2 linked regions of the Saccharomyces cerevisiae S288C genome follow. The protein of the gene in region 1 interacts with the protein of each later gene in a biochemical or structural test. Each region holds a gene or a part of one and is shown in the gene's direction. Other genes may lie near its edges.

Evidence for each region.
Region 2: the proteins of GEA2 (region 1) and TRS33 form a complex in vitro, tested with the Saccharomyces cerevisiae proteins (one study listed by BioGRID).

Annotation. Positions count from the first base shown.
Region 1 is NC_001137.3:109,276-116,584, forward strand, and holds GEA2 (Arf family guanine nucleotide exchange factor GEA2), read left to right. Parts: upstream 1-2,145; coding exon 2,146-6,525; downstream 6,526-7,309. Other genes in the region: YEL023C (uncharacterized protein), read right to left, coding at 1-1,277; URA3 (orotidine-5'-phosphate decarboxylase), read left to right, coding at 6,892-7,309. UniProt on the Saccharomyces cerevisiae protein: Activates the ARF proteins by exchanging bound GDP for free GTP. Plays a role in maintaining mitochondrial morphology. Stimulates DRS2 flippase activity.
Region 2 is NC_001147.6:538,159-540,973, reverse strand, and holds TRS33 (Trs33p), read left to right. Parts: upstream 1-1,508; coding exon 1,509-2,315; downstream 2,316-2,815. Other genes in the region: DNA-directed RNA polymerase III core subunit RPO31, read left to right, coding at 1-1,211; mitochondrial HMG-box protein CIM1, read right to left, coding at 2,520-2,815.

The DNA of each region.
Region 1 (7,309 bases):
GGTTTGAATTTAACACCAAATTTGATTGCCTCTGCTAAAATCCATCGCAGCGTTAAATTTGACAAGTTCTCTTCTGTCTCACAGTCAGGCGCCCAACCTCCACCAACGTCAGAATGATCACCTGGAAACCATTTTTCAATCAAGTCGGGTGTCATAGTCATTCTACTTGATGTACCGCTGCCTTGGATAGATTGAAGTTGGAAAATGGCTTCAATTCCTCTTGTTGAACATTCTGTATCTCTCGCGTATGAATTACCTTCTAAGAATGAGTTCAGGTCCAACAGCAACTCTGTAGTTTCCTCGCTTTTGCTCGATAACAACCTTCCAGGGTTATCAGGAATGAGTGGAGAAGGATTACTAATAGAATGTGCGCCACTTTTTAAAGTGTATTTTATCAAAGGATTTTCCGGGGTTAGATCACGCATTAATGCATTAGAAGTTGGCACCGGCGAACACTGGTCAGTTATATGATTACAATATGTCAATGAAAATAGTTTCGGAATGTACGGCATCGGAGTGAAACATAACTGCTTGAATTTTCCACGTCTTTCATCCAAGGATACGCAATGTCGAACATGCTCAACGATATTGCTTCTCTGGGTGCAAGGAAACAACCTGTCCCTTAATATTCCAACTGAGTTCACAGAATCGAATAAGCCTTGAAAATGTATCTTTACCTCGTAATCCCTAGAGAATGTTTTCTTGAATTCTTCAGCCAAGGTACTTGTGTACTGTAATTCATTAGGCTGCGAATCGTATTCCCATTTTTCATAGATTTGCCATGCCATTTTAACCATTTCTTCCAAACCTTTACTCAAAAGTCCGACTCTTTCAATCATTCCAGCAAGAACTCTTGCAATAAAAGCTCCTCTAGAAAAGCCAAACATATAAATTCTATCTCCTGGTTCAAAATACTTCATCAAAAAAAGATATGCAGAACATATGTGATTGTCTAAACTGAATGCGAACATAGAATCTAATAAATTTTGTAAGTGAGAAATAGTTAACCGTCTTCTGACATCAACAACAGCGTCAAATCCAACTGAACCAATTCCAGGTTGGTAATAACAAATTTGTTCAGAACTATCACCGTTCTCAAGAAGGTTGTACAATTTTAAAATATTAGTGAATGGCTGAGGTCCAAAATTTTCTCTTGTTCCATCAAAACAAAGAATGATATTCTTGCCAGACGATGAATGTGAGGATGGATTTATACTTCTGTCGCCTCCCGTCCCATTTTTTTTATATTTTCCATGAATATAATTGAAGCTATCCATCTAATGGATATTATGTTAGTGTATTATTTTTTATAAGTTACATCACCTGTTTGCTGTTATTTTACTACATCTGTCTGAAGTACATTAATTTGTGGCGGTTTAACAGTATATTGAATGTGACAAACACACCCAGACACCTCAATAGACAACAGGAGGGCCATTACCATAATTTCATAACATTAAATATTCCAAGTAACATTTTTCAGAAGACGAAGAAAGACTAATTAACAGGATAATAAATATTAACATTATCTTTTAAGTACCATACTTGAAGCGTCAATTGATGTATGTTTGGTTTTCCACTATTTTCCTAAAAGCATGAATCTTTTCTAGGCAAAAAATTGGAATGACGACTCCTGATCGTTAAAATGGAAGACAAACACTAGAAGTTGACTTCAAAAAAACTTCTTTCATTAAATAAGGGAAATATCCGGCCGGCTCATACTGATAATATACCAGCAACATTTACAGGAAACTGCAGGTTTTAGGCAGTGTGGCGAACCGCAAATAAAGTAATAAACAACAATTTCAAACGGAAAGGACTCCTCTGCTAAAGATTTGATGTTTTTAAGTTCTTTTATAGTTTATATTGGCATAAGAGGTAAACCATATTTAGCACTTATTTTCATAAAGTATTAGAAGTGTTCTTATATATTTCATTACCCGACTTGAAAAATACTACGCGGTTCATTGCGAGAACCTTCAATAAGTGTCGAAAGAGCACCTACATTGGCGTTTAAATAATAAACACACCAACCTACATATTACGTTGAATTTAAATTCTTTCACTGCTTGTAAACCATAGACAATAAACTGATTAATTTAGTATCTAAAAAATCTTTTAAAGGGAAAGAGAAGAGGCGGAAAGATGAGTGATAGGGAATTCGTCACGGTAGATCCCGTCACTATCATAATCAAAGAATGCATTAATTTATCGACAGCGATGCGGAAATACTCTAAATTTACCTCTCAATCTGGAGTGGCCGCTTTGCTGGGGGGAGGAAGTGAAATATTTAGCAATCAAGATGACTACTTGGCTCACACATTCAACAATTTGAATACCAACAAGCACAATGATCCATTTTTATCTGGATTCATTCAGTTAAGACTTATGTTGAATAAACTGAAAAATCTAGATAATATAGATTCACTAACCATATTGCAGCCATTTTTATTAATTGTGAGTACAAGTTCCATTTCTGGTTACATCACTTCCCTGGCCCTGGACTCTTTGCAGAAATTCTTTACCTTGAATATCATCAATGAATCATCGCAAAACTATATTGGTGCACACAGGGCGACGGTAAATGCTCTAACACATTGTAGGTTTGAAGGATCTCAACAACTTTCTGATGATTCAGTTCTTTTGAAAGTCGTGTTTTTACTGCGTTCAATCGTCGACTCACCTTACGGAGATTTATTATCAAACTCTATCATATATGACGTATTGCAAACGATTCTTTCATTGGCTTGTAATAACAGAAGGAGCGAAGTCCTTAGGAATGCTGCACAATCAACAATGATAGCCGTTACCGTAAAGATTTTCTCAAAACTAAAGACTATTGAGCCTGTTAATGTGAATCAAATATACATCAATGATGAAAGTTACACAAATGATGTATTGAAGGCCGATACAATTGGCACAAATGTAGAATCCAAAGAAGAAGGAAGTCAAGAAGATCCCATCGGCATGAAAGTGAATAATGAGGAAGCTATTAGCGAGGACGATGGCATTGAAGAAGAGCATATTCATTCAGAGAAGAGCACAAATGGCGCCGAACAACTAGATATTGTGCAAAAAACAACAAGATCAAATTCCAGGATCCAAGCGTATGCTGATGATAACTATGGATTGCCCGTGGTTAGGCAATATTTAAACTTATTACTATCATTGATTGCGCCAGAAAATGAATTAAAACATTCATACTCCACTAGAATATTTGGCCTAGAGTTAATTCAAACGGCATTAGAAATTTCAGGTGATCGATTGCAGCTATACCCACGGCTTTTTACACTGATATCAGATCCTATTTTCAAAAGCATTTTGTTTATCATACAGAACACTACAAAATTATCACTACTTCAAGCTACATTGCAGCTATTTACTACTCTAGTTGTTATATTGGGCAACAACTTACAATTACAGATCGAGCTCACTCTAACAAGAATATTTTCTATTCTTTTAGATGATGGTACCGCAAATAACTCGAGTTCTGAAAATAAGAACAAGCCATCAATAATAAAGGAACTTCTAATTGAGCAAATATCCATCTTATGGACTAGGTCGCCATCTTTTTTTACTTCTACTTTTATCAATTTCGATTGTAATCTCGATAGGGCAGACGTTTCCATAAACTTTTTGAAGGCTTTGACTAAATTGGCCTTACCAGAATCCGCCTTAACTACCACAGAAAGTGTACCACCCATTTGCCTTGAGGGATTGGTCTCCCTAGTCGATGATATGTTCGATCACATGAAGGACATTGACAGAGAAGAATTTGGCAGGCAAAAGAATGAAATGGAAATCTTAAAAAAGAGGGACCGTAAAACAGAGTTTATTGAATGTACCAATGCATTCAATGAAAAGCCCAAAAAGGGTATTCCGATGTTAATAGAAAAAGGTTTCATTGCTTCCGACTCCGATAAAGATATTGCGGAGTTTCTTTTCAATAATAACAACCGTATGAATAAAAAAACAATCGGTTTGCTACTTTGCCATCCGGACAAAGTAAGCTTGTTGAATGAATATATTCGTTTGTTTGATTTTTCAGGGTTAAGGGTCGATGAAGCTATTAGAATTTTGTTGACGAAATTTAGGTTGCCTGGTGAATCGCAACAAATTGAAAGAATCATCGAAGCCTTCTCGTCTGCGTATTGTGAAAATCAAGATTACGATCCATCCAAAATCAGTGACAACGCGGAGGATGACATTTCTACTGTTCAACCAGACGCTGATTCTGTTTTCATTTTAAGTTATTCAATTATTATGTTGAACACTGACCTACATAACCCTCAAGTGAAGGAACACATGTCATTTGAAGATTACTCTGGTAACTTAAAGGGATGCTGTAATCACAAAGACTTCCCATTCTGGTATTTGGATAGAATTTACTGTTCAATCAGAGATAAAGAAATTGTTATGCCTGAAGAGCACCACGGCAACGAAAAGTGGTTTGAAGATGCTTGGAATAACTTGATATCTTCAACTACTGTTATAACTGAAATAAAAAAAGACACACAATCTGTCATGGATAAATTAACACCCTTGGAGCTTTTGAACTTTGATAGAGCAATTTTTAAACAAGTTGGCCCAAGTATTGTCAGTACTTTATTCAACATTTACGTAGTTGCATCTGATGACCATATATCTACCAGAATGATAACAAGTTTGGACAAATGTTCCTATATTTCCGCATTTTTTGACTTCAAAGATCTCTTTAATGATATACTAAACTCCATTGCTAAGGGCACTACTTTGATTAATTCAAGCCATGACGATGAACTTTCAACTTTAGCTTTTGAATATGGCCCAATGCCACTGGTGCAAATTAAATTCGAAGACACTAACACTGAGATCCCGGTTAGTACAGATGCTGTTAGATTTGGTAGATCATTTAAGGGTCAACTAAATACAGTTGTTTTTTTCCGGATTATTCGCAGGAACAAAGATCCTAAAATTTTCTCCAAGGAATTATGGTTAAACATTGTTAATATTATACTAACATTGTACGAAGACTTGATTTTGTCTCCTGATATTTTCCCTGATTTACAAAAAAGACTGAAATTAAGCAACTTGCCTAAGCCATCTCCTGAAATTTCTATTAACAAGAGCAAAGAAAGCAAAGGTCTCTTATCAACATTTGCTTCTTATTTAAAAGGTGATGAAGAACCCACAGAAGAGGAAATCAAATCCTCAAAAAAAGCGATGGAGTGCATAAAGTCGAGTAATATTGCCGCCTCTGTCTTTGGAAATGAATCAAATATAACAGCGGATTTAATAAAAACTTTACTAGACTCCGCCAAAACTGAGAAAAACGCAGATAATTCCAGGTATTTTGAAGCAGAACTTTTATTTATCATCGAATTGACTATTGCATTATTTCTATTTTGCAAAGAGGAGAAAGAATTAGGAAAGTTCATACTTCAAAAAGTTTTCCAACTTTCTCACACGAAAGGCCTCACGAAAAGGACTGTTCGTAGAATGCTAACATACAAAATTTTGTTAATTTCGTTATGTGCGGATCAGACGGAGTACTTGTCCAAATTAATAAACGATGAGCTGTTAAAAAAGGGGGATATTTTTACCCAAAAATTTTTTGCAACTAATCAAGGTAAGGAATTTTTGAAGAGACTATTTTCATTGACCGAATCAGAGTTTTATAGAGGATTTTTACTAGGAAATGAGAATTTTTGGAAATTTTTAAGAAAAGTTACAGCAATGAAAGAGCAGAGCGAGAGCATTTTTGAATATTTAAATGAATCGATCAAGACAGACAGCAATATTTTGACAAATGAGAACTTCATGTGGGTCCTAGGACTATTAGATGAAATTTCATCAATGGGTGCCGTTGGAAATCACTGGGAAATAGAATACAAGAAATTGACAGAAAGTGGTCATAAAATTGATAAGGAGAATCCATACAAGAAATCGATCGAATTATCATTGAAATCCATTCAACTAACATCACACTTGCTGGAAGATAATAACGATCTGCGTAAAAACGAGATATTCGCTATTATTCAAGCTTTGGCACATCAATGCATCAATCCGTGTAAGCAGATAAGTGAATTTGCAGTGGTAACGCTAGAGCAGACGCTCATCAATAAAATCGAAATTCCAACTAATGAGATGGAATCGGTAGAAGAATTAATTGAGGGCGGATTACTACCGTTGCTAAATTCGAGTGAAACACAGGAAGACCAGAAAATCCTCATTTCATCCATATTAACAATAATTTCAAATGTTTATTTGCATTATTTGAAACTAGGGAAGACAAGCAACGAAACGTTTTTGAAAATTTTGAGTATTTTCAATAAATTTGTAGAGGACTCAGATATTGAAAAAAAGCTACAGCAATTAATACTTGATAAGAAGAGTATTGAGAAGGGCAACGGTTCATCATCTCATGGATCTGCACATGAACAAACACCAGAGTCAAACGACGTTGAAATTGAGGCTACTGCGCCAATTGATGACAATACAGACGATGATAACAAACCGAAGTTATCTGATGTAGAAAAGGATTAAAGATGCTAAGAGATAGTGATGATATTTCATAAATAATGTAATTCTATATATGTTAATTACCTTTTTTGCGAGGCATATTTATGGTGAAGGATAAGTTTTGACCATCAAAGAAGGTTAATGTGGCTGTGGTTTCAGGGTCCATAAAGCTTTTCAATTCATCTTTTTTTTTTTTGTTCTTTTTTTTGATTCCGGTTTCTTTGAAATTTTTTTGATTCGGTAATCTCCGAGCAGAAGGAAGAACGAAGGAAGGAGCACAGACTTAGATTGGTATATATACGCATATGTGGTGTTGAAGAAACATGAAATTGCCCAGTATTCTTAACCCAACTGCACAGAACAAAAACCTGCAGGAAACGAAGATAAATCATGTCGAAAGCTACATATAAGGAACGTGCTGCTACTCATCCTAGTCCTGTTGCTGCCAAGCTATTTAATATCATGCACGAAAAGCAAACAAACTTGTGTGCTTCATTGGATGTTCGTACCACCAAGGAATTACTGGAGTTAGTTGAAGCATTAGGTCCCAAAATTTGTTTACTAAAAACACATGTGGATATCTTGACTGATTTTTCCATGGAGGGCACAGTTAAGCCGCTAAAGGCATTATCCGCCAAGTACAATTTTTTACTCTTCGAAGACAGAAAATTTGCTGACATTGGTAATACAGTCAAATTGCAGTACTCTGCGGGTGTATACAGAATAGCAGAATGGGCAGACATTACGAATGCACACGGTGTGGTGGGCCCAGGTATTGTTAGCGGTTTGAAGCAGGCGGCGGAAGAAG
Region 2 (2,815 bases), on another chromosome or scaffold:
AACTTTATAGAATCAGTGAAAAATCGGTGAGAAAGTTTTTAGAAATTGCTCTTTTCAAATATCGTAAGGCAAGACTGGAGCCAGGTACTGCTATTGGTGCTATTGGTGCTCAATCCATTGGTGAACCAGGTACACAAATGACATTGAAGACCTTTCATTTTGCAGGTGTGGCTTCCATGAATGTTACATTAGGTGTTCCTCGTATCAAAGAAATTATCAATGCTTCCAAGGTCATTTCTACACCTATTATAAATGCTGTATTAGTAAATGATAACGATGAAAGGGCTGCTAGGGTTGTTAAAGGTAGAGTGGAAAAGACACTGCTATCTGACGTAGCTTTCTATGTCCAAGATGTTTACAAAGACAACTTGTCTTTCATTCAAGTGCGTATTGATTTAGGTACGATTGATAAACTACAATTGGAGTTGACCATAGAAGATATCGCGGTTGCTATAACCAGGGCTTCTAAATTGAAAATACAAGCCTCTGATGTCAATATTATTGGTAAAGATCGAATTGCAATCAACGTATTCCCAGAAGGGTACAAAGCAAAATCGATATCTACATCTGCGAAAGAACCAAGTGAGAATGATGTTTTTTACCGAATGCAACAGTTACGTCGTGCGCTTCCTGATGTTGTTGTTAAAGGTTTACCTGATATTTCTCGTGCGGTTATTAATATTCGCGATGACGGCAAGAGGGAATTATTGGTTGAAGGTTACGGCCTGCGAGATGTGATGTGTACAGATGGTGTCATTGGTTCTAGAACTACAACTAACCATGTTTTAGAAGTCTTTTCCGTTTTGGGTATCGAAGCTGCAAGATATAGCATTATTAGAGAAATTAACTATACCATGAGTAATCACGGTATGAGTGTCGATCCACGTCATATCCAACTATTAGGTGATGTGATGACATATAAGGGTGAAGTGTTGGGTATTACAAGATTTGGTTTGAGTAAAATGAGGGACTCTGTTTTGCAGCTAGCCTCCTTCGAAAAGACAACTGACCATTTATTCGATGCGGCCTTTTATATGAAAAAGGACGCTGTTGAAGGTGTTTCTGAATGTATTATTTTGGGTCAAACGATGTCGATCGGTACCGGTTCCTTTAAAGTTGTTAAAGGTACTAATATATCTGAAAAGGATCTGGTTCCTAAGCGATGTCTATTTGAAAGTCTCTCAAATGAGGCAGCTTTAAAAGCGAACTAAAGTAGTCGTTTTTAAACTTTTTTATAGCATTTGTATTATTTTTCTACCACAGTCATTTAACGTATTTATACATATAAAACTACATGATAAAAACCATGAAACAAAATTTACTTATAAGAAATTTGCTTTCTTCACATTAGTAGAACCAGCGTATCGTTTTCAAAAACTCGCGTCAACGTTTTGAGACCAAAAATGCTAAATATTTTGGAATCTGGTATGCACTCACAAGCTGAGAGTGAAGACCTCATGCCATAAAAGAAAACATACACCGGTTATAAAGTTGGAAGATAAACAATTATGTCCTCTACACATAGTAATAATGTAGGACATCCCCAATCTTCTCCACAAGGTCCACTAACGGAACAACAAAGAGCACAACAGCAATATCAAATTTTTGAGAATTCATTACCAAAAGTAAGTCAATCTGTGTATCAGATGCTGTTGAACGAGATGGTTCCTCTAGCTATGGGCATTGAGAGGCAAATATCAGGCGATGTTATCAGTTCTGATAGCAATGTAACTTCCGAAAATGGTAACATCAACAATATGATAAAGAGACTGAAGATAGAGGAACATCATACAGTAGATATCATACGTTCTCATAACTTGATACATGAGCTGTATAAGGCGGATGAAGAGGAAAAAGAAAAGGTTTTAGCAAGACTGAGGAATATTGGGTTTCAAATCGGATTGAAGCTGTCAGAGTTATTGATATTTTCTAACAACCCAAATTTAAAATTCAAGGAAATGGACCTTCTATTAATAATGAAGTTCATTTGTAGGGATGTCTGGAAACAAATATTTGGTAAACAGATCGATAATTTAAAAACAAACCACAGAGGAACCTTTTACCTTCTTGATTATGACTATCGACCTATTCAATCATTTTCTTTGGAGGAAGATGCAAAAAACGAGGAGTTAAAAATGATAGAACCGTTTTTGGAGATACCTGTGGGAATTATTAGAGGCGTGTTGTCTTCCTTAGGTTATTCATCTGAAGAGGTCATTTGCTTGGCGTCTTTTATCGACAGGCCAACAGATAGGCCTAAAACAGCTTTTCCCAAGGGAGTTAGCTTCCATGTTCAAGTCACAATGCCGCAGTAAAGGTCCGACAGATTTTTGTTCTAAGAATGTACATCGACATATAGATAGATATAAGTGTGTATATAAAAGAACAGGTGACTCCGTTTTCAAAATAATACCCTTACTATAAAATCTTGACAATAATTTCTTTGATCAAGGTACATATAGTCTTTATGATAGTGAAGTGCTTTCGTGGACTCTTCTTAAAGCCCTAAAAGTCTATTGTCATTTCTTTTTTAGTAGGTACGTCATGGGAAGAATATTATTTGGTTGTGTATTTGTATCGTGATTCGCTGCTGTAAGATAGGACTCACTTCTGAGACCAAACTTTGACATGATATCCATGTTTTTTTGTAATATTTGTATCTCGTTATCCATCATTTCCTCAAATTTTGCCCTCCATACCTGTAATTTTTTTCTAATTTCTAGTTTCTGGTCATAGTCAACCTCTTCGTTCCAAGCATACCGGCATTCTTTGCACATTTGTTGAAACCTTTTCATATAATCATAAAGGTAATTTT